3 linked regions of the Callithrix jacchus genome follow. The protein of the gene in region 1 purifies or fractionates together with the protein of each later gene. This does not show direct contact. Links are inferred from orthologs where the notes say so. Each region holds a gene or a part of one and is shown in the gene's direction. Other genes may lie near its edges.

The links.
Region 2: the proteins of DMWD (region 1) and USP46 purify together in Homo sapiens (affinity purification with mass spectrometry; 5 studies listed by BioGRID and IntAct, counting the BioPlex papers as one, with this or other methods). This does not show direct contact. The link is inferred for Callithrix jacchus from reciprocal best matches to the Homo sapiens genes DMWD and USP46.
Region 3: the proteins of DMWD (region 1) and USP12 purify together in Homo sapiens (affinity purification with mass spectrometry; 3 studies listed by BioGRID and IntAct, with this or other methods). This does not show direct contact. The link is inferred for Callithrix jacchus from reciprocal best matches to the Homo sapiens genes DMWD and USP12.

Annotation. Positions count from the first base shown.
Region 1 is NC_133523.1:39,942,501-39,950,095, reverse strand, and holds part of DMWD (dystrophia myotonica WD repeat-containing protein), read left to right. Parts: 5' UTR 1-59; coding exon 60-500; intron 501-1,699; coding exon 1,700-1,882; intron 1,883-5,140; coding exon 5,141-6,418; intron 6,419-7,264; coding exon 7,265-7,339; intron 7,340-7,595. UniProt on the Homo sapiens protein: Regulator of the deubiquitinating USP12/DMWD/WDR48 complex. Functions as a cofactor that promotes USP12 enzymatic activity.
Region 2 is NC_133504.1:144,021,306-144,029,524, forward strand, and holds part of USP46 (ubiquitin carboxyl-terminal hydrolase 46), read left to right. Parts: intron 1-2,381; coding exon 2,382-2,579; intron 2,580-5,715; coding exon 5,716-5,794; intron 5,795-6,940; coding exon 6,941-7,042; 3' UTR 7,043-8,219. UniProt on the Homo sapiens protein: Deubiquitinating enzyme that plays a role in behavior, possibly by regulating GABA action. May act by mediating the deubiquitination of GAD1/GAD67.
Region 3 is NC_133506.1:146,332,925-146,341,835, reverse strand, and holds the start of USP12 (ubiquitin carboxyl-terminal hydrolase 12), read left to right. Parts: upstream 1-4,239; 5' UTR 4,240-4,466; coding exon 4,467-4,514; intron 4,515-8,911. UniProt on the Homo sapiens protein: Deubiquitinating enzyme that plays various roles in the regulation of the immune response and inflammation.

The DNA of each region.
Region 1 (7,595 bases):
GCAGGGGGTCGGGCTGCGGGCGGCGGTCCGGCAGCCGCTGGGCCCGGGGGGCGCCCAAGATGGCGGCGGGCGGCACGGAGGGTGGCTCGGGCCCCGGCGCCGCCATGGGGGACTGCGCGGAGATTAAGTCTCAGTTCCGCACCCGCGAGGGTTTCTACAAGCTGCTCCCGGGCGACGGCGCCGCTCGCAGGTCTGGTCCGGCTTCCGCTCAGACCCCGGTGCCGCCCCAGCCGCCGCAGCCCCCGCCCGGCCCTGCCTCCGCCTCCGGCCCGGGCGCTGCAGGCCCCGCGTCGTCCCCGCCGCCCGTAGGCCCCGGGCCCGGGCCCGCGCTGCCCGCCGTGCGCCTCAGCCTCGTGCGCCTCGGAGAGCCGGACAGCGCCGGGGCCGGGGAGCCACCCGCCACGCCCGCGGGGCTGGGCTCTGGGGGAGACCGCGTCTGCTTCAACTTGGGCCGTGAGCTCTATTTCTACCCGGGCTGCTGCCGCCGCGGGAGCCAGCGGGTGAGCGGCCTGTATCGTGGGGCCCTGGGTGCTGAAAGGATGGGGGTTCCAGAGAACTGATAAGAAGGTCCCCGAATTGACATGGGACCCTGAGATAGACATCCTAAATGTGGTGGACGTCCTAGGGCGACGGCATTCTTGGAGAGAGTGTAGGATTCTGAAACGTGATGGGAGGCCCGCGGGGTGGTGGGCAGGCGTCTTAGAGGTGATGGTGGAAACCCCTTTATGCGTAGGGGTTCTGGGATGGTGAGTATTTTAGACGTGACCGGGTATCTGAGATGAGGTGGGATCCCCGGTTCTAGGGTGGCAGGCATGGTAATGGGGAATCGTGAGATGCAGGCTCAGAGGTGATGGAGAAACCAATATTGCAGCCTGGAGTGTTCGAGAGGGGTCTTGAGATTGAGCCCAGGAATGAGGAGAAGTCTAGAAGTGATGGGGGCCTTGAACGTAATAGGGGTCTAGAAGCTGAATGGGATCCTATAGAAAATTGGGGTCTGGAGATTATGAGGCTCCTGGAAGAGATGAGCATGTGGAAGCTGATGGGAGATCTTGAGGAGAGGCCCTGGCAGGGAAATCTGCAGGTGTGATTCAGGGCATCCCTAAAGCAGTGTGGTGAGAGCCCTGGCAGTTTATGGTAGTCCCAGAAATGTTGGGGATCCTCAGAGCCCACAGGTGATAAATGGGCCTAAAATGTGGGAGGCCATGAGGTTTGATGGGTCTCCGAACTGTGGCGGCTTAGCGACTCCAAAGTGAAGGGAGTACTGGGACGTTAGGCTTCAGAGTCCTGGGAATTTGGATGACCTCAAGGTCTGGGGGTCTTGGAATATTGTGGTAATAGGTCCCAAGGGAGTTGCTGAGGTTATAGGCTGGAGAGGTGGGGCTAAAAGGAATCGGAGCTCAGGAACTGTGTGGACCCAGAACCCTGATGCTGTGGACAAGGGTGTGTCTGAATTAGGGGTGACCCAACTTTGGGGAGACACTGTGGTCAAGGGGGATCCTTACCATCTTTTTCACTCCTCTGTGATTTGGGTCCCCTTCCTGCCTGTGGTTGCCCCCTCCTTCTCAACCCTCCTACTCACCTCCCCACTTCCCTCTGGGTTCTAACCCTGCTTCCTCTTAGTGGTTTCCCCCAACCTCAACATCTTCTTCCTTCCCCTCAGTGGCATAGACGGTTAACTCCTTTTCTCCCACCCCTCAAGTCCATTGATCTCAACAAGCCAATTGACAAGCGGATCTACAAGGGCACCCAGCCCACCTGCCACGACTTCAACCAGTTCACTGCTGCCACGGAGACCATCTCCCTGCTGGTGGGCTTCTCAGCCGGCCAGGTGCAGTACTTGGATCTCATCAAAAAGGACACCAGCAAGTTATTCAATGAGGAGGTGATTGCACCCCGCAGAGTCCCCAACTGCTCTGCCTTCTCACCCACCCACTATTCGCCATTAGGCTGCAGCCGCCTGGGGAACAGTGTAGACCTGAGATGGGCAGGACGAGGGACAGATGGAGAATTAGGGGACAGCAGCTAATGACAGCTGCACTTACTGTACCCAGGCCCTATGCTGTGTTACCCCCCCATGCTGAATACTCCTTAAGTTTTTTAATTTTTTTTAACTTTTATTAATTTTAATTTTTATGTATTTGAGGCAGAGTCTCGCTCTGTTGCCCAGGCTGGAAGGCAGTGGGGCAATCTCAGCTGACTGCGGCCTCCACCTCCCCGGTTCAAACAATTCTCCTGCCTTAGCCTCCTGTGTAGCTAGGACGACAGGTGTGCCATGCCCAGCTAAGTTTTGTATTTTTAACAGAGACAGGGTTTCACCATGTTGGCCAGGCTGTTCTCAAATTCCTGACCTTGTGATCCACCTGTCTCGGCCTCCTAAAGTGCTGGGGTTACTTGGAGAGCGAGGTGTGAGCCACCGCACCCAGCCACTCTTTGGGTTTTCATCAATCACTGGATACAGAAGTGGGCTGCCTATTTTGCAGATCAGAGAACTGAGGCTAGTAAATAAGTTGGGTCTTAGTTGATGCCCTTGTTGTTTGATTTCTGGACTCTGGAGGCTTTGGATTCAAAGCCCTGCTGCACCATTTACCCACCACGTGACTTTGGGAAGGTGACCATTTTCTGAGCCTCACTTTTCCTCCTCTGCAAAATGGGATTCCAGTTCCTCCCTCGCAGAATTGCTATTGTAGAATCATACATGGAGACTGCTCAGTCCTAGGCCAACTTGGCACACAAGGAGATGCCAGCAAACGACCTTATCCTTGGGCAGGGACTGCTCTTGGCTTCTGTCTCATTCTCTCTGGTCCAGAGGAGGTGTTCCATAAATATTCTCAGAATGAGTGAATGGCTGAAGGGAGTGAGTAGAACAGCAAGTGGATTAAAAATTCATTAGCTCATCCATTCACAAATAGTTTTTGAGCATCTGTTATGTGCCAGGCACTGTTCCCAGCACTAGGGATATCACATCTCAGGGGCCTGGACAGGAGGCCCTGCCCTTTTGGAGCTTTCAGTCTAGCTGGGGAGACGGACAGTTAATCAAGTTAAGTCTTCGTGTGTCAGCAGGGGATTAAGGCCTGTGGAGAATTAAACAGTGGGGAAGGGGCTCAGGGAAGCTTGGAGAGGGTAGTGGGGTGGTCAGGAAAGGCCTCACTAGGAGGTAATATTGAAATAAGCACCTGAAGGAGGCAGGCGTGAAAAGTTACCTGGGGAAGGACATCCTTTTTTTTTTCTGAGGTAGAGTCTCACTCTGTCATCCATGCTGGAGTACAGTGGTGCAATCTTGGTTCACTGCAACCTCCGCCTTCCAGGCTCAACCAGTGCTCTCAATTCAGCCTCCTGAGTAGCTGGGACTACAGGTGTGCACCAACACACTGGCTAACTTTGGTATTTTTTGTAGAGATGAGGTCTCTTTATGTTGCCCAGACTGGTCTCGAACTCCTGGGCTCAAGTGATTCGCCTGCCTCGACCTCCCAAAGTGCTGGGATTATCGGTGTGAGCCACTGCGTATGGCCAAGAAGGACATTCTGAGTAGCGGGGCCAGCTAGGGCAAATGCAGGCTGGCACAGAAGCCGTGTGGCCAGAGGGAGAGAGGATGGTAGGTGAGTTCCAAGAAACAACAGAGGGACCGGCTCACGGAGAGTCTGGAAGGCCACAGAAAAGACTTTGCCTTTTACTCTTAGAGGGTAGCCTGTGGAGGAGCCTTTCTCAGCAGGCTCACCTGAGCCCTGGAAGGCAGAAATGGCTGGAGTGGTTATTTGCTCAGTTCTCCCAAAGATGGTCGGCACCTCATTCCCTAAGGGAGAGCAGCTCCTTAGTCACATAGGCTGGCTGCCTGAGGGCATTAGGTCCTCGGCCTCTGGAACCCTGCTTGAGAGAGGCTTCTAAGCATTGAGAGCCAGACAGTGCCAGGTGCTAGCTGATACTTCACAGAGCATCTCCGCGGCAGCTGCAGAGGACAGACAGGCCCAGGCAGTAGAGACTGAGGCCAGTCACACAGTATTGCAGGTGGTTGGAGTGGGGTGGTGAGAGGAGGTTACATTCTGGGTGTATTTTGAAGGTAGAGCCCCCAGGATTTGTTGAAGGATTGGGTTCAACAGGGGCAGTTGCTTACGTTTTTCATCTAAGCATCTAGCAGGATGGGGGGTGATCATTTGTCCAGGAATCACCTTCGAGCTGCCTTCTGGGTGCACTGATGTACAGAACAGTGAGCCAAACAAAGATCCCTGTCACCCAGGCTAGAGTGCAATGGCGCAATCTCGGCTCACTGCAATCTCTGCCTCCCTGGTTCAAGTAGTTCTCCTGCCTCAGCCTCCTGAGTAGCTGAGTAGCCACCATGCCCAGCTAATTTGTGTGTTTTTAGTAGAAATGGGGTTTCACCATGTTGGCCAGGCTGGTCTCAAACTCCTGACCTTATGATCCACCCGCCTTGGCTTTCTAAAGTGCTAGGGTTACAGGTGTGACCTAGGAGGAGCTGGCTTTCTGTGAAGAAATTTCTTGCTTGAAGTCTGACATAGAAAAGATTGGGGGAGGGTTAGGCAGAGCAGTGATCCCCAACCTTTTTGACACAGGAACCGGTTTTATGGAAGACAGTTTTTCCACAGAATGTTGTGGGGATGGTATTGGGATTGGGATGAACCAATATGATCCACCTCTGATCATCAGGAATTAGGTTCTCATAAGGAGCACATACCCTAGATCCCTCGCATGCGCAGTTCATGGTGGGGTTCGTCGGGTTCGTGCTTCTGTGAGGAGTGAATGCTGTGGCTGCTCCAGTAGGAGGCTGGGGTCAGGCTGTCATGCCCGCTCGCCCACCACTTACCTCCTGCTGTGTGGCCCGGAGGGTGGGGACCCCTGAGATAGAGGACAGTTCTACGGCAGGTAGGAAGGTCCCCTCACCAAAGATGGGACATCGAGGCTCCTTGGAGCACCCTGTGGCCACCTTGCAGCAGACCCCATTCCCCAGTGTTTTCATAATCTGGTGTCCATCTGTCACCCTCAGTTTGGGAACTTCTGAGGAGGGCCTGGTGTGACACCTGCTGTGTGAGTGGGGCCATGTCCAGCAGCCTTGGGGGCTTCGGGTTGGGGAGGAGATCTGCCTGGGTTTTACTGCCTTCTCCCAACCCCATCCTGTCTCCCCTGGCAGCGGCTGATCGACAAGACCAAGGTGACGTATCTGAAGTGGCTGCCTGAGTCGGAGAGCCTGTTCCTGGCATCACATGCCAGTGGCCACCTGTACCTGTACAATGTCAGCCACCCCTGCGCCTCAGCCCCACCCCAGTACAGCCTGCTGAAGCAGGGCGAGGGCTTCTCCGTCTACGCTGCGAAGAGCAAGGCACCCCGCAATCCACTGGCCAAGTGGGCAGTGGGCGAGGGTCCCCTCAACGAGTTCGCCTTCTCGCCCGACGGCCGGCACCTGGCCTGTGTGAGCCAGGATGGCTGCCTGCGTGTCTTCCACTTCGACTCCATGCTCCTGCGTGGGCTCATGAAGAGCTACTTTGGGGGCCTGCTGTGTGTGTGCTGGAGCCCTGATGGCCGCTATGTGGTGACAGGTGGCGAAGATGACCTGGTCACCGTGTGGTCCTTCACCGAGGGCCGTGTAGTGGCTCGAGGCCATGGCCACAAGTCCTGGGTCAATGCCGTGGCCTTCGACCCTTACACCACCCGTGCAGAGGAGGCAGCAACAGCAGCCGGTGCCGACGGAGAGCGGAGCGGTGAGGAAGAGGAGGAGGAGCCCGAGGCTGCAGGCACAGGCTCGGCCGGGGGCGCCCCACTCTCCCCGCTGCCCAAGGCTGGCTCCATCACCTACCGCTTCGGCTCGGCAGGCCAGGACACACAGTTCTGCCTGTGGGACCTCACTGAAGACGTGCTGTACCCGCACCCGCCCCTGGCCCGCACCCGTACCCTCCCTGGCACGCCTGGCACCACACCGCCAGCTGCCAGCAGCTCAAGGGGTGGTGAGCCTGGCCCAGGCCCTCTGCCCCGCTCGCTCTCCCGCTCCAACAGCCTCCCGCACCCAGCAGGCGGGGGCAAGGCGGGTGGCCCGGGCGTGGCGGCAGAGCCTGGCACACCGTTCAGCATTGGCCGCTTCGCCACACTCACACTGCAGGAGCGGCGGGACCGGGGGGCCGAGAAGGAGCACAAGCGCTACCACAGCCTGGGTAACATCAGCCGGGGTGGCAGTGGTGGCGGCGGCAGTAGTGGGGAAAAGCCCAGTGGCCCTATCCCCCGCAGCCGCCTGGACCCCGCCAAGGTGCTGGGCACCGCCCTGTGCCCGCGCATCCACGAGGTACCACTGCTGGAGCCCCTCGTGTGCAAGAAGATTGCCCAGGAGCGGCTCACGGTCCTACTGTTCCTGGAGGACTGCATCATCACCGCCTGCCAGGAGGGCCTCATCTGCACCTGGGCCCGGCCGGGCAAGGCGGTGAGTGGCCCCACGCCAGCCTGCCTGGGACCTGGCAGGACCCTTGGCAGGAAGAGGCAGGCATTGGCAGAGAGAGGGCTTTATCACTTTCACAGCCTCTGGCTCTGGGGTGACGGGAAGCCATGGAAGTCTTAGAGTGATGGGGTCTAGCCCTCGGCAACAGGCAGCAGAGAGGGGTGCGTGTGAGAGACGGCTGGGAGTGGGGGTGTCCAAGGCTGGCCGTCTGAAGAGCAGCAGATGGGCCCTGCATGGCCAGGTCTTAGTGCCTGTCACTCGAACCAAAATCTATTCCAGTTGGACATCTGTTTTTTTAAGTGGTGAAACTTTTTTGAGTGCTTTGGGCCAAAACGCTAGGGGGAATCTCAAGCCTGTGGGCCTGGCTGCCAGCGTGGGTCTGGGACTCAGGATCCGAGCCTCCTGCTGAAGGCGCAGGCTGGGAATCCCAGGCCCGGGTTCCAGTCCCACTCTCTGTGTGACCCTGGACAAGTCACTGCCCCCTCTGACCTCCAACTCATCACCTCTTAGAACAGAGCCTGTAGGATGGGCAGTGGGTGGATGCATTTGCCTGCTGGATGGGCTGTGGCATTGGGAAGTCACAGTAGGTGAAGCACAGGCCTGGCGCCCTGTAAGTTCAGAGCTGGTCTTGAGTGTCTGCTCCTTAGGGCTTTGGACTCAGGTGCCCAGGGTCCTAAAGGCCATGGCTTGGTTCCTTCTATCCTTGGTTTTGGAATCGTAGAGTCCTGAGTCCCTAGAACTTGAAAGCACAGTCTGAGCACCTCAGAGGCAAGATCGGTGGGATGCGGGGAGTCTGGTTGAGTCCTAAAAGAGACCCCTCTGTCTCCCTAGTTCACAGACGAGGAGACCGAGGCCCAGACAGGGGAAGGAAGTTGGCCCAGGTCACCCAGCAAGTCAGTGGTAGAGGTAGGACTGTCCCTGAGTTCTTTCCCCAGCACCTCAGGGTCCCTCCCAAGTTAGAAGGAAGCCCCAGTTTCCCCTTCCCCTCCCACCCTCACCCTTACCCCATCGTGTCACTCAGGATCTGAGGAGGACTTTGATTATTGAGTGAAAGTGCCAACTGCCAGGACAGGAAGCTAAGATGCAAGTTCCCAGCCTAGAGCAGCGGCCTTGGGGGACTCTGGGGTGGACCCAAGGGCAAGGCCAGGGTGGCAGCAGTTTT
Region 2 (8,219 bases), on another chromosome or scaffold:
AGCTTCCTGGGCTCATAGCCATGGAGCCTTGGGGAAGTCAGTTACCCTCCTCACCAGTGAAACTGAGACAAGAACGCTGACCTTGGTGAGGACAACTTGGAGAGCTGTCTGTCCGATTGTTTACTCATTTGTTCATTCATTCAGTCATTCAGCAAATACTTGTTGAGTGCTATCATGTGCCAGATACTTTTTTATGCTGGATAAACAAGTAGTAATAAAATATAATCACTATTCTCTTGGAATTAAGGGTAAATTATAGAAAGTACTTAGAATAGTATATAACAAATAGTAGACACCCAATATTATTTTCATTTGTATTGCGTAAACATTGGGACCTCTTTTTTAGAGACAGAGGTTTAAAATATATGTATCATTTCATAAGGACTTGTGAGGAAATTATTAACACATCAGTTGTAAGAATAGGTGATAAGAGGCGGGGCACAGTGACCTTTAATCCCAGCATACTTTGGGAAGCTAAGGCAGGCCAATCACTTGAGGTCAGGAGTTTGAGACCATTCTGGCCAACATGGTGAAACCCTATCTCTAATAAACAGACAAAAATTAGCCAGGTGTGGTGGCTTGCGCCTATAATCCCAGCTACTCGGAAGGCTGAGGCAGGAGAATCTCTTGAGCCTTGGAGGCGGAGGTTGTAGTGAGCTGAGATTGTGCCACTGCACTCCAGCCTGGGTGACAGAGTAAGACTCTGTCTCAAAAAAAGAAAAAAAAACAGGTGATAAGAAAGTTTGAAAGTTACTGCATTCTGAATTGAAATAAGACCCAATGTTCTCCATCTTTTTTGCATACCAGACAGTTACAGCTTTTGGAAAATCTGAAATAACCAGTTGTTCCCCATTAGTCCACCCTACAAGCCAGGAAAGTTGCCATTTCAGTCTCCCGCGAAGGCTTCCTGTGAGTTAAATCTGTCTTGGCAGTATTCAGGGCAGCTGACAGATGCTCAATACTGCTGTCTAAAACCCTCAAGGGTCTAGACCTGAGATTGAGATCATTTCTCTGCCCAGCCTTCCCAGGCCTTCACCCCAAACATGTACTACTTTCTTTGCTGCAAAACTTACACAAAGTTAGTCACATTGCAGGCAGGCGTCAAGGAGGTAGGCAGGTACCTTTTGTTAGTGAGGAAGGTCACTCACATCTGCCCCCCATCCTTACGACCTCAGTCTGTCTAAGACTGGCCTTGGGTCTTTCTTTGTGGCACTTAGACATTTTTGTTCAGCCCTGGAGGGTTTATACATTACAATGTCTTGTATTCCTATGAAATATGGGGTTCCTTGTAATTCTTATTTTTCTACTGATGTTTTACTTGCTTATTTTTATGACCAGGGCTTTTCCTTAATAGGTTCCTTAAAACTATTCTTTTAAAATTTGTCCTTTTCACATACTATGCATTAAAAATGTACACAAACTAAACAGCATGTACACTTAATTCAGTACATTCATGGAATGGGGGGCTGGAAGGAAACTGGAAGAACCTCTATTCTAGCAGTGTGCTCTGCATAAACTGTTACCTTTGTGACTTTTTACTGAGGAGTGTTAATGGTCACCTAGTAAAAAAAACTTTCTATGTTTATATATTTGGGAAATCCAACATCAAACAACAGAACAATCCCTTTACTGGAGGATTTCTCAAAATCTTCAGTCTGGTAATGTACACATAGGATCTTCAAAGCAGAAAGTAGCATCGCCCAAACTTACTTGGCCACAGAAACACCACATCTGTTAACATTTCCAGTGCTCTCATGAGCCCAGTTTGGGAAATATAGCCCTAAACCAACCCCTGCATTTTATAAATGAGGAACTAGAGCTAGAGGAAGGAAATGACTTGCCCAAAATCACAAGGGTCAGAATGATATTGAGCCTGGCACGCTTGGTGTCCTGATGCCCAAGAGTGTGTGTCAGAAGCATCCATCCCCCTGCCAGTCCTCAGAACCTATGAGTCCAGCCGTCGGTACTATCCACCTTGTCCTCTTCCCAGCCTCCTGTTCTCAAAATCTCTTAAACCTCCTTTCCATCATCTCAGGGAAGATTGTCCAAATATCATTCCTCTCTGGAAGGCACAGGGCAGTGATGGAGAATAATTGCATGGCCTATTTTTATTTGTGCGAAAATTCTGGAACATCACCTTTCACCAAACAGAGTCACACCATTGTACATTTCTCCTGCTGGAATGCTCTTGGGAGCCAGGGATATAGGATAAGTCAGCTCTACATAAGCCAGCATACTTTTATCCTTGCAAACTATTTGGTTGTTTGCTGGTTTGAAGTTTCATAGACCTCCCCTCCTGTTCTGTTTGTGCAGATGGCAGTGTATTCTCTTCACCTAACGGGTGTTGGGTACAACTGATTTTCTATTTCATGGTTTCTTAGGATGAGAGTAAAAAAGCTGCCCATGATCTTGGCCCTACATCTAAAGCGGTTCAAGTACATGGAACAGTTGCACAGATACACCAAGCTGTCTTACCGTGTGGTCTTCCCTCTGGAGCTCCGGCTCTTCAACACCTCCAGTGATGCAGTGAACCTGGACCGCATGTATGACCTGGTTGCTGTGGTTGTTCACTGTGGCAGGTAAGGGCACGACCGGAAGCAGGTGCACAGGGTAAGCGTAAGGTTACCCTTGGCTGAAATATATCCAGCTGCACCTTTCCTGTGCCATGGCACTAAGCGTTTTTGGGATCTCTTCCAAACTCTTACTAATCATCTCAATAAATACATAAACATGCCTACAGACACATTTAAAAAATAGCATTCCAACAGTGATCATCTAAATGTTCTGTTATGAGAGAAATAATAAATCTTCATTGCATAGAAATAATGGTTCTGAGGAATTTGAAATAACATGGAGAAACAAATGTCTATGCTATGATTTTAATTTTTAAAAAGCCAAGTTAGATTTACAGTATGATCTCAAAAGCATTTTAAGATGTGTAAATAAAGACTAGAAGCAATGGATCAAATTTAATAATCTTTGGCACTTGAGTGATTAAGAACATATTCTTAAAAAATATTCTTTGTTATTTTTGGTCTTTCCCCAAATTCTAAAATAAGTATATAATCAGAAAAAAGAAAGTAAGAGAGAGAAGGCCTCTAGATACGGAGAGGCAAAGCATTTTGCCGAAATTTGAGAAGATTTTTTTATTCCGTAATTTGGTATAAATGCAGAAGAATATACTGAAAATTCACCTGTTTGTTATTCTTTGCTCAGCTGGGACAGCTTTATGTGCTACCTTGCGGGTAGGCACAGCTTTCCTCCTGCCCTCCTAGGTTTTAGATTGGGGCCTATCACAGAGAAAGAGTCTTTTTCTCCATCTGCTGAGATGGATTATAGTGAACACATTACCAGAAGACTACCATTGCCACGTGGAGGGATGGATTAATTTGTTTTTTAATTGTGTGCTAGGGTGGATGTATCCGAAACTGTAACTTCATATCTGAAGCACCCCATATTTTGTCCTGTGTGTATTGACTTTAAGTCACTGGATATTTTCTTGTATTCTCAGTAAAATTGTATGTATGGGCTAGTTGTATACCTGTGTTGTGGTGTTCTTCCCTGAAGAACAGGTGTTACTCTTTTGAAGAGCACAGGTTTCCAGATCACTGGAACCTAGCCTTGAGCGCTGGGTGAGGCCTCACATTGGTGCAGGGTTGGAGAAGGTCTTAGGGCAGGCAGAGCCTGGGACCTGGTAGGCATTGCAGCTAAAGTGGGTGGCAGGGGTGGTGTGGATGGGAGGGCCTGCTGGGAAAGCTAGGCGAAGGAGAAACACAGGTGCCCCTTGCACGGGGGGCTCTGTGAGTATCTGATTTGAATCCTTGGGAGGACTGGCAGAGACCCATGTGAGGGAACTGAATGACCAGTGGGAGGTTGGGTTCTCTAAGGTCAGTTTCCGTAATGTGAGCACAAGGTAAGAAAGGCCCTGGCAGCAAAGATCAGTTGGTGCCAAATCAGGCATGCTACTAACTAGGATTCTTCAAACTCCTCCCAGCAGAAGTAGGGCCGTTCTCCTATGTGGAGTGGGGCTGGCCTGTGCATGGAGATTGGGTGGCTTCCAGGTGGCACTGGAAAGCTTTGAGGTTAGGGAGCTGGGCCTGCCTTACCTTCCATGCTCCTGGCCCATAGTTGCAGCAAGTGCACAACCTTGTGCATTGATTTCTGCTGCAGGTTTTTTTTTAAGCTCATGTTTTCTGGGTTCCATGCCAGGATCTGAAGGTAGAGTAACGAAAAGACACACAGCACAGGGGCCCTGCCATCACAAAGCTTACAATCTATCTGGAAATACTGATAATGAACAAAAAAAACCACACCACTCTATTATCACCAAAAATAAACCACTGCAAGATACTTTATGATTTTGATCAGTGCTATCAGGAATAAACAGGGAGATGAGTGAGTGGTGGGAGATACCTCTTCAGGTGAAGTGGTCAGCAGAGATTTATCTGGGGAGGTAACATCTGAGCTGAGGCATAAAAAGAATGCAGTTGGGGAAGGATCATCTCTGGCAGAGTTTACAGCAATGCAAAGGCCCACAATGTGAAGGGGGCATGTGTGAGAGGAGCCTGAGGAGCTGGAGCTCAGAGGAAAGGGAGACGTAGCTGGAGGAGGCTGGAGAAAGAGCAGAAACAGATCATTGGCATCATCTTGTGCTGAAAGAGGGTAAACAAAAGGGGAGGTTTTCTCAACTTTAACAGTGCATTAAAAAACAGTTCTAGGTTTAGGATTAAAATCCCCTTACTCGTGCAAATCTAACCTAACTACATAGTAACTGTTGCTTAGTTGTTCTTTCTGCTTTTTTCCATATAGCATACTGTATGGCTTTTTATTTTAATACTTGTTACTAAGCATCTTGGTTTGTTGATATTTTTCTAAAACAGATCATACAACTCCTTAAAATTCCCTTATCTTCCTGGCTTGCTCGAAGCAAAGCCTAAAATCTTACCTGCGATTTCTCCTGCACCTGCCCCTCAGTCCGCTCTGGTCTTCCTCTCCCCGCTCACTCTGCTGCTCTGGCCTCCTTTGGCCTCTCTGCTGTTTGTGAACACACCAAGTGTTACTCGCCTGCCCCAGGCCTTTCCACTTGTTATTCCCTATTTCTGAAACTTCCATCCAGAGCCGCATGGCTTCCCCCTACCCCCTGACCCCCTACCCCTACCCCTACTCCTATCCCTGCCATTTCCTTCAGGGAAATTTTCTTGTGCCCACATTATCCAAGTGGCCTCCCTTCACCGTCTATCAAATAACACCTCCTGCCATCGCTCAGATCCCATTACTCTGCTTCATCCTTCTCCATGACACTTCTCACCACTTGACCTAGATTTATAAGCTTAGTTTGTGTATTGCCAATCTAGCTCCTATCCCAAGTCCCAAATAAGTGAGGTCTTTGTTTTGTTCACTGCTTCTTCTCCTGACAGCTAGAATAGGGCCCAACACAGAGTAGGTAGAGAGTAATGTTTTGTTAATATTTGCTGAATCTGAGTGTCTGTTTTTCCTGCTGGATTATGAGTCCTTAGAAGATACCTCTCCTGCGCACTTTTGTATTCCCCTACATCCAGCATGGTGTTGTGGACATAGACATGGGCTCTATGCCAAGATCTTTGTCCTGATAACTTAGTTTTCCCCCCAGAGAATCACTGCTTGTAAAGAGCTCAGTAGTGTTTTATAAAGAGATCAATGTTAACATGCTAACTTCTTTTATTTGTTCTTTTCCAGTGGTCCTAATCGTGGGCATTATATCACTATTGTGAAAAGTCACGGCTTCTGGCTTTTGTTTGATGATGACATTGTAGAGGTTGGTTTGCAGATTATTCTCCAGTAGTCACAGGGCATCAATAGTATTTCGGGGAATGTGTATATATAGACGTTTTTTAAAGTAGGCCTGTTTCCTCATAATGTAACTTGAAGACCACTTACATTTCTATTCAAAACCAAATTCTGCTGATCCCCATGCTCTGTGGAAAGGGAGAAGGAGTGTGATCGTGGACTCACCGACTCTGTGTTCTCCACAGTTCAGCCACAGACATGGGATCTCTCTATCTCATCATGACTAAAGCCCCCTCTGATACAGGGCAAACAATAGACTTCAAAGTTCTATTAAGATTATTTTATTTTAACAAATTTTTCTTGTATTGATTATTGTTTAAAGTTTTTTTTCAGTCTGCTGGATCTGGAAATCTATCTTACACCAGTGCATTCTATGTATTGATTTTGTTATAAGAGAATACTAGCTGGAATGAATTCTACACTCAAAGACATGATGTATTTTAACCCACTAGGGTAGCAGTTGTAGTGGAATAACACTAAAAGAGATGAACTCTGGTGGCTGGAAAGACTGAAGGCTATTTTCAGGACCCACCAGTTTACCATTTGGGAGATGTCTTGGTTTCTTCAAAGAATGCCCACACAGGGTTGCTGATGTATGGAGACGTTGCCTTTTTTCCTAGAGATGTGCAATTTATGTGATGATGACCTTCAGCCAAGTCAGTGGAATTCTCCATTTGCCAGTGAAAGTTCCTAATCACGATTTTTTTTTTTTTTTTTTTTGAGACGAAGTCTCCCTCTGTCACCAGGCCAGAGTACAGTGACATGATCTCGGCTCACTGTAACCTCTGCCTCCCAGGTTAAACTGCCTCAGCCTCCCAAGTAGCTGGGACTACAGGCACGCATCACCAAGCCCAACAAATTTTGTATTTTAGTAGAGATGGGGTTTCACCATGTTGGCCAGGAGGGTCTCCATCTCTTGACCTCGAGATCTGCCCGCTTCTGCCTCCCAAAGTGTTGGGATTACAGGCATCAGCCACTGCGCGCAGTTCTCTAATCATGATTTTATAAGAAATTGTGTTCCTTGCATTTTAATGTATGTTCCATTAGTTTTTTATTTCCTTTTCCCAGGTATCATGTTAAGTAATTGTATTGTTTTCTTTCTTTTTTATTGCAGAAAATAGATGCTCAAGCTATTGAAGAATTCTATGGCCTGACATCAGATATATCGAAAAATTCAGAATCTGGATATATTTTATTCTATCAGTCAAGAGAGTAACTTAAAAGAACTGTGGGACTAATTCAAGTGGGGGGAAATGTTCAAAGCACTATTACCTGGTTTCTCTGCAGTCTTTCTTCTTCCCTAGTGGCCCACTATGATATCACTCCAAGTCTCAATGGTCTGGCTGTGTTAGACTCTCTCCTTTTCTGTTTTTACATACAACACTACTCTTGGTTTTATTTCGGTCTGAGGTAGAGTTAACTGCAATCAGATTGTAGTCAGATTTATATGAATAACAGTTGCTAATTTTAGGATTGGGTGAAAGCTATGCCATTCGTTATGTCTGGCTGTATTAGAGTGACATTTCCTATGAATGTCTACAGTCTATTTTAAGTGTTTGCTAAACTTCTACGGCTTCCAGGGTCTTCTGACAATGCATTCCTTTAACTTGTCCCTGGAAGCATTGCTACCCATTTTCAACTTCTCCACCTCTTTTCTCATACAAGGACAGAAGAATTGGGTAGATAATCACCTTTTAGGGTTGCAACTATAGCTTTAAGTTTGTGCAAGTGAAAATGTTGAAAAGTGAGTAACCTCGATACTAAAATCATCCTGGACATGGAACAGGGTGAAGAGAAGCTGTCCGTGGTGGCTGGTGCTGGCTGGCATTGGCACTGGGCTGTGCTGACCTTGCTGTTAGAATTCCAGGGGTTAAGAAGGCTCAGGGCAGGCAAAGCCAAAAGGAGGAAATTTTTGTGGACAATGAAAAGTTACTTTTTGTACGTTTCTACCAAAACCAAGTTTCAGGAAAATAACTCTGTGCTATTTATTTTCAGTCACACTTCTTCTGTAAGGCCCTGTGAGTTGTGTTTATTCTGTATCCGGCACTGCTAAGCTTTTCAAGGTATCTTTCCACTCCTGTTGGTGTGTGCAGTCAGTGGCTGCAGGGCTGGCACACCTCCCCTTAGCCAGTCAGCATCGACATTGTTCCTTATCAGGAATAGCAAAGGCACTGCATCTTTCCAGCTATCAGCACATTGTACAACTTAACTTTTTAACATAGTCCTTCTGTTTACTGAGGCACTGGCGAGTCCCAGGGCTGATATAGAACCTTCCCTAGAGGGAATACCAGAGTTAGCTGGGTATGAAGGTGGCTCAGAGGAAGTGTCTGTGGGCAGGGGGAGGAATGAACAGAATGGCGCTGTTTCTTTGGGTCAGACTCCTAGAATGCTCG
Region 3 (8,911 bases), on another chromosome or scaffold:
TCATCTAAAATCGGGGATAATCATAACCTGCTTCGTTGGGTTGTGAGGATTAGATAAAATGCTTATACCTCTTCTTGGACCTCTCCCCACCACTTTCTTTCCCAACCCACCACAAGCAAAGCTTCACTCATTTATGTGCGCTGGTATAAACCCACATGCCTTCAGAGAGAAGAGAGGTGGCAGAACTATATAAAGTGACTTATGTTAAACTGTTGAACAGAATGAATAACGGAAAATTTGAGGCAGACTGTAAGCAACTGGAGAGTGTAGGATTGTGCAAAGGTATGCAAATGAAAAAATTATAAAATGCTGTGCTGACTAGGCCGGGCGCGGTGGCTCATGCCTATAATCCCAGCACTTTGGGAGGCCGAGGTGGGAGGATCACTAGGTCAAGAGATCGAGACCATCCTGGTCAACATGGTGAAACCCTGTCTCTACTAAAAATACAAAAAATTAGCTGGGCATGGTGGCACAGCCTGTAGTCCCAGCTACTCGGGAGGCTGAAGTAGGAGAATTGCTTGAACCCAGGAGGCGGAGGTTGCGGTGAGCCGAGATTGCGCCATTGCACTCCAGCCTGGGTAACAAGAGCGAAACTCCATCTCCAAAAAAAAAAAAAAAAAAAAAGCTGTGCTGACTAAATGGATTAAGGTTGGACATCATTCATTTACTTGCCTGGTCCCTGAGGCATCTGGGTATATTTTGTAGTTTGCAGATTCAAGAAGGCCCAAAAGGAGTCAGTTGTACACAAACATCTTTTGCTAGGCACAGGAAGCTCTTTGTAAAACCAATTACACAGCTGTGTAAAGCTGTGTTCTAAAGCTAGATTACCCTTTCCTAGCTCAGGGTGCAAAAGTGTGGAGTCTCAGCCAAACTTATTCTCCAATGCATTACATATGGTAAAGAACACTCAGTACAACACCTAGCACACACACCTCTCTTTTACATTTGTGGCTCTCCAATCAACCATAGGCTATGGAGACAAGGCATTGTGAGGCTCTGCGATTAGATTTCATGACTTTGTGAATTTAGATGGCTCCAATATCAACTAGATATGACTCCAGATAATTCTATCAGAAATCCATTTTATTTACTTTTTAATTTAATTTAATTTTTTTTTTTTTTGAGATGGAGTCTCGCGGGGTCACCCAGGCTGGAGTGCAGTGGCATGATCTCAGCTCACTGCAACCTCTGCTTCCCGGGTTCAAACGATTCTCCTACCTCAGCCTCCTGAGTAGCTGGGATTACAGGCACCTGCCACCGTGCCCAGCTAATTTTTGTATTTTTAGTAGAGATGGAGTTTCTCCATACTGGCCAGGCTGGTCTTGAACTCCTGATCTCCTGATCCACCTGCCTCGGCCTCCCAAAGTGCTGGAATTACAGGCATGAACCACTGTGCCCAGCCAATTTAATTTAATTTTTGAGATGGAGTCTCGCTCTATTGCCTAAGCTGGAGTGCAGTTGCAGGATTTCAGCTCACTGCTTCCTTCCAGGTGCACTTGATTCTCCTGCCTTAGCCTCCTGAATAGCTTGCTTGCAACCATGCCCAGCTAATTTTAGTAGAGATGGGGTTTCTCCGTGTTGGCCAGGCTGATCTTGAACTCCTGACCTCACGTAATCCACCCACCTTGGCCTCCCAAAGTGCTGAGATTACAAGCAATAGCCACTGTGCCTTTCTCATTTTATTGTAATTTTGAGACAGGGTTTTGGTTGTTGCTCAGGCTACGGTGCAGTGGCTCAATCATGGCTCACTGCAACCTCAATCTCTTGGGTTCAAGTGATGTTCCTACCTTGCCTCCCAGGTAGCTGGGACTATAGGTATGCACCGTCATGCACCATTGATTTATTTTATTTTTATTTTTAGTAGAGACAAGGTTTCACTATGTTGCCCAGACTGGTCTTGAACTCACTGGCCTTAAGGGAGTTGGTCTCAAGCTCAAACAACCTCCTGCCTCAGCCTCCCAAAGGGCTGAGATTATAGGCATGAGCCACTGTGCCCAGCCTAGAAATTTATTTATTTATTTATTTATTTATTTATTTAAGAGAGTCTCACTCCATCACCTAGGCTGGAATGCAGTGGTGCAATCTTAGCTCACTGCACCTCCACCTCCAGGACCCAAGCTATCCTCATGCCCCAGCCTCCTGAGTAGCTGGGATTACAGGTGTGTGCCTGGCTAATTTTTGTATTTTAGTAGAGATGGGATTTCATCATGTTGGCCAGGCTAGTATCCAACTCCTGACCTCAAGTGATCCTGACCTGTCTTGGCCTCCCAAAGTGCTGGAATTACAGGTATTAGCCACCATATCTGGCCTAGAAATTCATTTTAGAAAGGCTTTGTTCCTGTGGTGTGTTAGGATTAATGGGCAAGGAGGCATCGGGTGGTAAGTGCGGATGGAGGCAGGGCTAAAATTCTGGCACATCAGACCTGTTTGCTGGAATAGAACAGCAAGTGGGAAGGACAGGATGACCACAGCTATTTATCAGGATGGACAGACAGACATGGTTCAGAGCCATAGTGACACTCAAAATACTCAAGATGTAGAAGCCTTGTCCAAACGGGGTAGAAAAGAGCAAGAAAGAATTCAGGTGGGTGATGCTATCAAGTCTAGACAGGGAAGCCCCTGGCTTGGGTATCAGGGCTCTTGGCTTCCACGGAAGCAGGCACCTGGAGAACCAGGCCAGATACCATGGGACTTGGCTATATTCAATCTGCATTCCCCCCCCCCACCAAGCAAGCTTATAATGGAATCACTATGGAAACAGTATTCATGTACCAGAAGTCTATTTTTCACTTACATTTTGTTTGAATGCTTTTTGTTTTTGACTGCTTTGAACACTTGAGGTGAGGCACTTACGATTTAGAGCTGTCTGAATTCAGATCCACAACCCCACTGAATTAGGGGAACCCAGAAAAGTACCCCATCACTTCAGCAATTAGAAAATATCACGGGTCGGGCGCGGTGGCTCAAGCCTGTAATCCCAGCACTTTGGGAGGCCGAAGCGGGCGGATCACGAGGTCAGGAGTTCATGACCAGCCTGACCAACATGGTGAAACCCCGTCTCTACTAAAAAAATACAAAAATTAGCCCGACGTGGTGCCACACGCCTGTAACCCCAGCTACTGGGGAGGGTAAGGCAGGAGAAACGCTTGAACCTGGGAGGCAGGGGTTGCGGTGAGCCAGGAACACGCCATTGCACTCCAGCCTGGGCGACAGAGACTGTGTCTCAAAAAAAAAGAGCTTTTTAACATCATAATTTATGAAGCTATTCCACTCACTTGAACTACTTTCTCAAATAGGAAAAAATAAAGCTGAGCTGCCAGACACGATGAACTGGGTGCAATGATGAATTTTATAAGAGGAGAAAAGAGGAACTACCCATGCCAGTAGCCAGCACTGCCTGAGGATTTCTCACAGGGCATTTTTCTTGCTTGCGGGCTTCTTGTTTCTGGTAATATCATCATCACTGCTGGCTTGAGATCTTCTCTATTCTGTAGCACAATGTGCAGATATTTAGAAACCTATTCTAAATTTATGGGCAACAGGCCGACAGGATTCGTTGCTCTCCCCACTTCCCCCATTACTTATCTTTCTTCTTAATTCAAAGAGTTAAACGTGTAATTTGTTCTTTGCCGCTTCATTTTTATTTGATTATTTTGTCTTTTTCTAAGTTGTGTTTGACTCCAGGAATTCATCCAATACACGGAAAAAGAAACCAAGTTCTTGGGACGCATACCTGGGTTATCTTAACTGTGCAGAGCATGTTTCCTCCCACTCCGCACGAAGTTACCCAGATCATCGCCTCCGTTTTCTGTTTAGGCAGCGGGAGATCACTATAGCCTCGCCCGCGGTGGGTGTCGCAGTCTGGCCCCTCCCGGGTTCTCCCAGGTCGCCGCAGCCGCCCCCGCGACTCCTCGCCGCCCCTCTTCCTACGAGGGGGCTCGGGCGCCCGGCACTAGGACCGCAGGGACGCAGGCAAAAGACAGTGCCCGCCCTCGGTCCCGCCCTCGGCCTCGCGCGGGGTGGGGCCGGGCAGGAGTTCCTTGGCTCGCGCTCCCGGGCCGCCGAGGGGGGCGCCGAGGGGTGGGCGGGGCTGCGCCGCCGGGCCGCGCTGCTGCCTGGCAGGCCGGGCATTAGGGCCTCAGCGGAGTCCGCTCCCCTGCGCGCTGGGCGGGGTGGGCGGCGGGCGGCTTCGCGGGCAGGCGCGGGCCCGGAGGCAGCGGCTGCGCCCTGCGCCGGGGCGGAGCCGGGGGCGGGCCGGCGGCCGGCAGGCGGGGGGCTGGGGCCCGAGGCCGGGAGTGCCTGAGCGCCGGCGGCGACGACGGCAGCGGCGGCCCAGCGGGCTCGGTGCGTGGGTCCGCTGCGGCTCGGGGTCCGCCCGCGGGCTGCAGTGCGAGCGGGCGGCCCGGCTCCCCTCATCCCCCGCCCGCCGCCGCCGCTGTGATTGGGTGGAAGATGGCGCTGGGCGGATGGAAATCCTAATGACAGTCTCCAAATTCGCCTCCATCTGTACCATGGTAGGTGCAGCGGGCGGGCGGCAGGGGCAGCCGGGACCTCTCGGGCGGGCGGACGGCGCTGGACCCGTTTCTCCCTGTGGCCGCTCGCGGGGCCTAGCGCGGGGGCGGGCGTGCGGGCGGCCCGGGTGGGGGCGGTCGGACGGCGCTCGGGCGGGGAGCGCGGGGGTGAGCGGCCCAGGCGTCCGGGGAGGGGGCGCCGCCTGGCGGGCCGGGGCTGCGCGAGGGTGGCGGTGAGGGGCCCACGGTGCGGGACGCGGCGAGGGGTGGGCACTGGCCTCCGGGAGTCCCCGACCGAACTGCTGGTGTCCGCGCCGGGCCAAGGGCCGAAGCGCGCCTGGCCTGTGGCGGGGCAGCGGGTGGGCGCGCAGGAGCCCGAGCGCGGCCCTGGGCCAGGGTCGCCGAGGAGGGGGCGAGGAGCTGCGGAGCCGCGAGGGCTCCATTTCCTCCTGGCCGCGCGCCGAGAGGGAGGTGTCCCCGGGCGGGGTGGGGGTCGGCGGGCAGGAAGGAAGGGTCTCTGCCGGGGCGGGCTGCGCTCTTTCCCGCCAGGGAGAGGACGGAAGTCAAGTGCAGATTTCCTCGCGCCGCTGGCCGGGCCGAGTCCCCGACCCCGCGCTGGCGGAAAGGGGCGTATGTAAAGATGGAAACTTTAAATAAGTGTTGTTGAAATTCTCTCCATTTTTCTCTTCGGAGAGGCACGAGCTCTCGTTTCCAGCCGTGTGTCCAGGTGGCAGTCTTGTCTGTGGGAATGCACGTTAATCTTTAAAAGCATTAGCTTTCCTGTCATTTGTTTACTTCGGCCCACCAGACACATCTGTATGTGGTGAAGCTACGTCTGTCTGTGTGCGGGGACCGCCTGCCAATGCGATGATATTTGTTTTCTTAGGGCGCTTAAATAGACTATAAAGGAAAAGCGCTAATCCTCGCTGGAAGTCCCGAATTAAGCAAAACGTGGGCGCGTTTAAAACTTGGTGTTTTGTGCTTGGCCAGAAGGACCACAGTTTTCCACATGATGAGACAAATTCGTTTCATTAGCGCCTCATGAGCTTATATGTAGGGATCATAATTTATGAGTCATCACCGAAAAAAGTTGTTCTTTGCAACGTGGACCTATTGGTTGTTATTAAAGACTTCTGAAAGCTTGTGTTTGATGCCTCACTGGCCCTATTTATGCAACCGATTTCATATAGGAGAGCCTCAAGCAATTTTCCATCTAAGGATGGTCCATTGTGTATATTTTTCTTTGAGGAGTGGTGAATCTGATCGGAAAGATGCTTTAAAAGCAGATTCTCTACTGCATGCTGAGGAACAGTACAAAAAATGGCTGAAATCAGCTGGACATAAAATCGACAATATTTAAGAAATCATATTGAAGACTCCATTTCCCAACTGGATGGTGGTTCTTTCTCAAAGTTTACGTTTTAGGAAGGCATTGGTATTAAATGGACTATTTTAAAGTGATTTTCAAGAATTGTTTGGGCTAATTATTTTCAGATACGCCAATTATTATCTTACTCAGTTTCAAAAGAATGCGATAATTAGGTCTTTTACAGTGATACCAGATTGCTGATCTACACACATTGTAATGATCATAGTTCACTGTCAAAGAATGGGATTTCAGGAGTGGTGTGATACTCTTATTCATTCACTCAGGTACTGTACATCTACGTTTAGCAGCTACTAGGTGCTAGAGGTGGGGCTGAGTGCTGGGGATGCTGTAGTGGTCAGGATAGCCCCGGCTTTCATGGTGTTTACGTTCTTCATGGACACAAACTGTATTTAAATTAATATATTAATAAATATGTGCTGTAATCACATTAGGACAGTGAGACACAGGGATTTGCCAGCGTCGCACACTTAGTAAGTGGGATTCTGATCTCCAAGATCAGAATCGGGAGCTCTTTCTAGGGCTTCCACCCAGATGCATTAATTACAGGTGGGGTGTGTGTATTGTTGGCAAATACTGAAAGTGCCTGGCCGAACGAGATTGTTCAAAAGGTACTATTAAAATTGGGTGTGTCTTTATTCGTATTTGAATACATTCTAATGTACCCTCAAATAGTGCTAAATATCTCAAAGTAGTTTGCAGTCTTATTCTTTAAAGAAAATGCTATCTGTCCTCTTGAGAATCACAAAATTGAAAAACAAAGATACCTCTTTAGCTTTGTAGGTGCCGTTTTGCTAGGCTTGGAATGCTTCCTCTGCCCTACCCCCCATCCTTGTATTGCGAGGATGTGTACCTCTTAAGCAGGGAGCTTTACTTGAATAATCCTACCCCTCTCCAACCCAACCCTCCATCCCCCTCATACAACTTCATGCCATTTTTGAAATGTCAGTAGCACCTATCATATTTAAACTGTGTAGTATATTTTTCTTTGAACTCTTACTCAGTTGTGAGGGCCTTGAAGGGGAAGAACTATCAGACTATCATTTACATTTACTTCTACAGTTTGATCTGGAGTACTAAGTTCTGCATTCAGTATAAAAGTGTTAAAAGTCCTTCCTATCTCCTGGAATGCCGGGTGAAGCAGGGATGATACTGGGTGTGTGTGTGGAATGGTGGAGAGAAGATGGGCTGGACTTAAACGAAATACTTCTCAGAAAATCAGCAGCTGTGAAAACATTTAGGATAAGTTGAAATATCATTCTATAAATACTGAAGTGTATATAATTTTTTCATTTGTCAAAATAAGGTACCTGGACACATGTGCAGTACCTTAATTGGGTTAAGTAACTGTTAATAGTTTTCTTCAGCTGTGTCGTTATTTTAGATCACTAGTGTTCTGCTTACATGTGAAAATTAGTAAAATTTGTTTTTCATAAGATAGTATTATAGCCTGACCCAAATGATTATGTTTAGATTGCAGTGAGTACATTTTCAAGGGTACCTCTTGAAATACATCTTTTTAATTTGTTAGTGAAATAATACATTTTCATTATCACATGGTGTTTATTTTGACTTTGAAGTAGTTTCAGACTTCAGGGCCTGGCACAGAGTACCTATGTATCTGTTAATATTATACTTAATAAGTGTGAACTAATGGGAAAAGTGACAGAATAGTTGTAGAAGGGCTCTGTTTTGCAGTTGAGGTGGCTAATCCGGGTGGTCCGTCATGACTGTTGTTTGCATGGAGGCAGGCACTGCTTACTGTTAGCTCCATAAATGTTAGCTCTGCCTCTGATCATCATTCTCTCTTCCTATTTGGGTTGTAGTAGTCATAGCTAGGAAGGCGTTGTCGGGAGTGGGACTGGACAAAGGAGGAGTTGTTGGTGCAGGGGGTGGGTAGAGTTAGATCATGGGGTGGCATGGCCTGGCTGCTTGCCCACCCTCATTTACAAGAGCTTGAGATTAGATCCATTAGAACGTGGTGGTAATATGGCCAAAGCCGGAAGGAAGGTGCTGCTTGGGAGAGTCTGATGGGCTTTACTTCTGAGAAAGCCTGTGCCTCACCCAGCACACGGAGCATAGTAAACTTGACTTGCTGAAGGTTAAGCTGGCTGTCTTTTCTTTTTTGTTTGTTCTATTTTAATAACAAAGTTTTTAAAAATATATAAATTAGAAAGGACATATATTTGCCTGTTCTTACTGCCTCAGTCTCACTGGGATCCAAATAAGAGTATGTGTAGTCAGCGTAGTTTATCCTTACTACAGAAATAAAGGCAAGGTGGGGCGAGCCTCAAATCCCATGCTTTGTTGGGAGTGTGTGTGTGGAAGTCTCCTCTTCATATTATATTAAATAATAAAATTCCTTTTTCGTTCTCAAGAAATAGGGTGGATATAGTTCTTTTATTAATAAAATATTTCTTATTTTTAAATGAGTATTTTATTAGTAAAATAGTACTTTCATGATAGGAGCATTTAAATGTGAGTTGCCATGTTTTACTTGTCTAATTTTTGCTGTGTTAATTTAAGAAGGAAGAAAACATAAGCTTCTTAAGCCTGCTTTTTTTTTTTTTTAAGACAACATTAAAAAATAAGGAATCTTCTATTACATAAATGTTTGGTCCATGGAATGTTTGAGCTTGGTGGAGAGAGAACATTTAGAAGAAGTATTATAAAAGTTTTATTTAAGCCCACTGATCTTTTGAATTTGTCTAAAATACATTTTTAGACATTAGACATTAAAAATGATACATTCTCATAGAAAATCTGGAAAATATAAAAACTCTGAGAAAGCCAAAGGAAGATCAATTATTTTACCTTCCAGGGCATATTTTCTTTGACTTTTTAAAAAACTCGAGTTATATTCCCTAGATATAATTTTATATTGTTTTCCCATAAATGATTATCATGTTATAAAATTTGCCCAATTTTAGGATGAACATGAAGAGTTTAATGTTAGAAAATGATGAGGTGTTGAGATTAGCCCAATAAAGCATAGTGGTAGGGGACTAGGTCA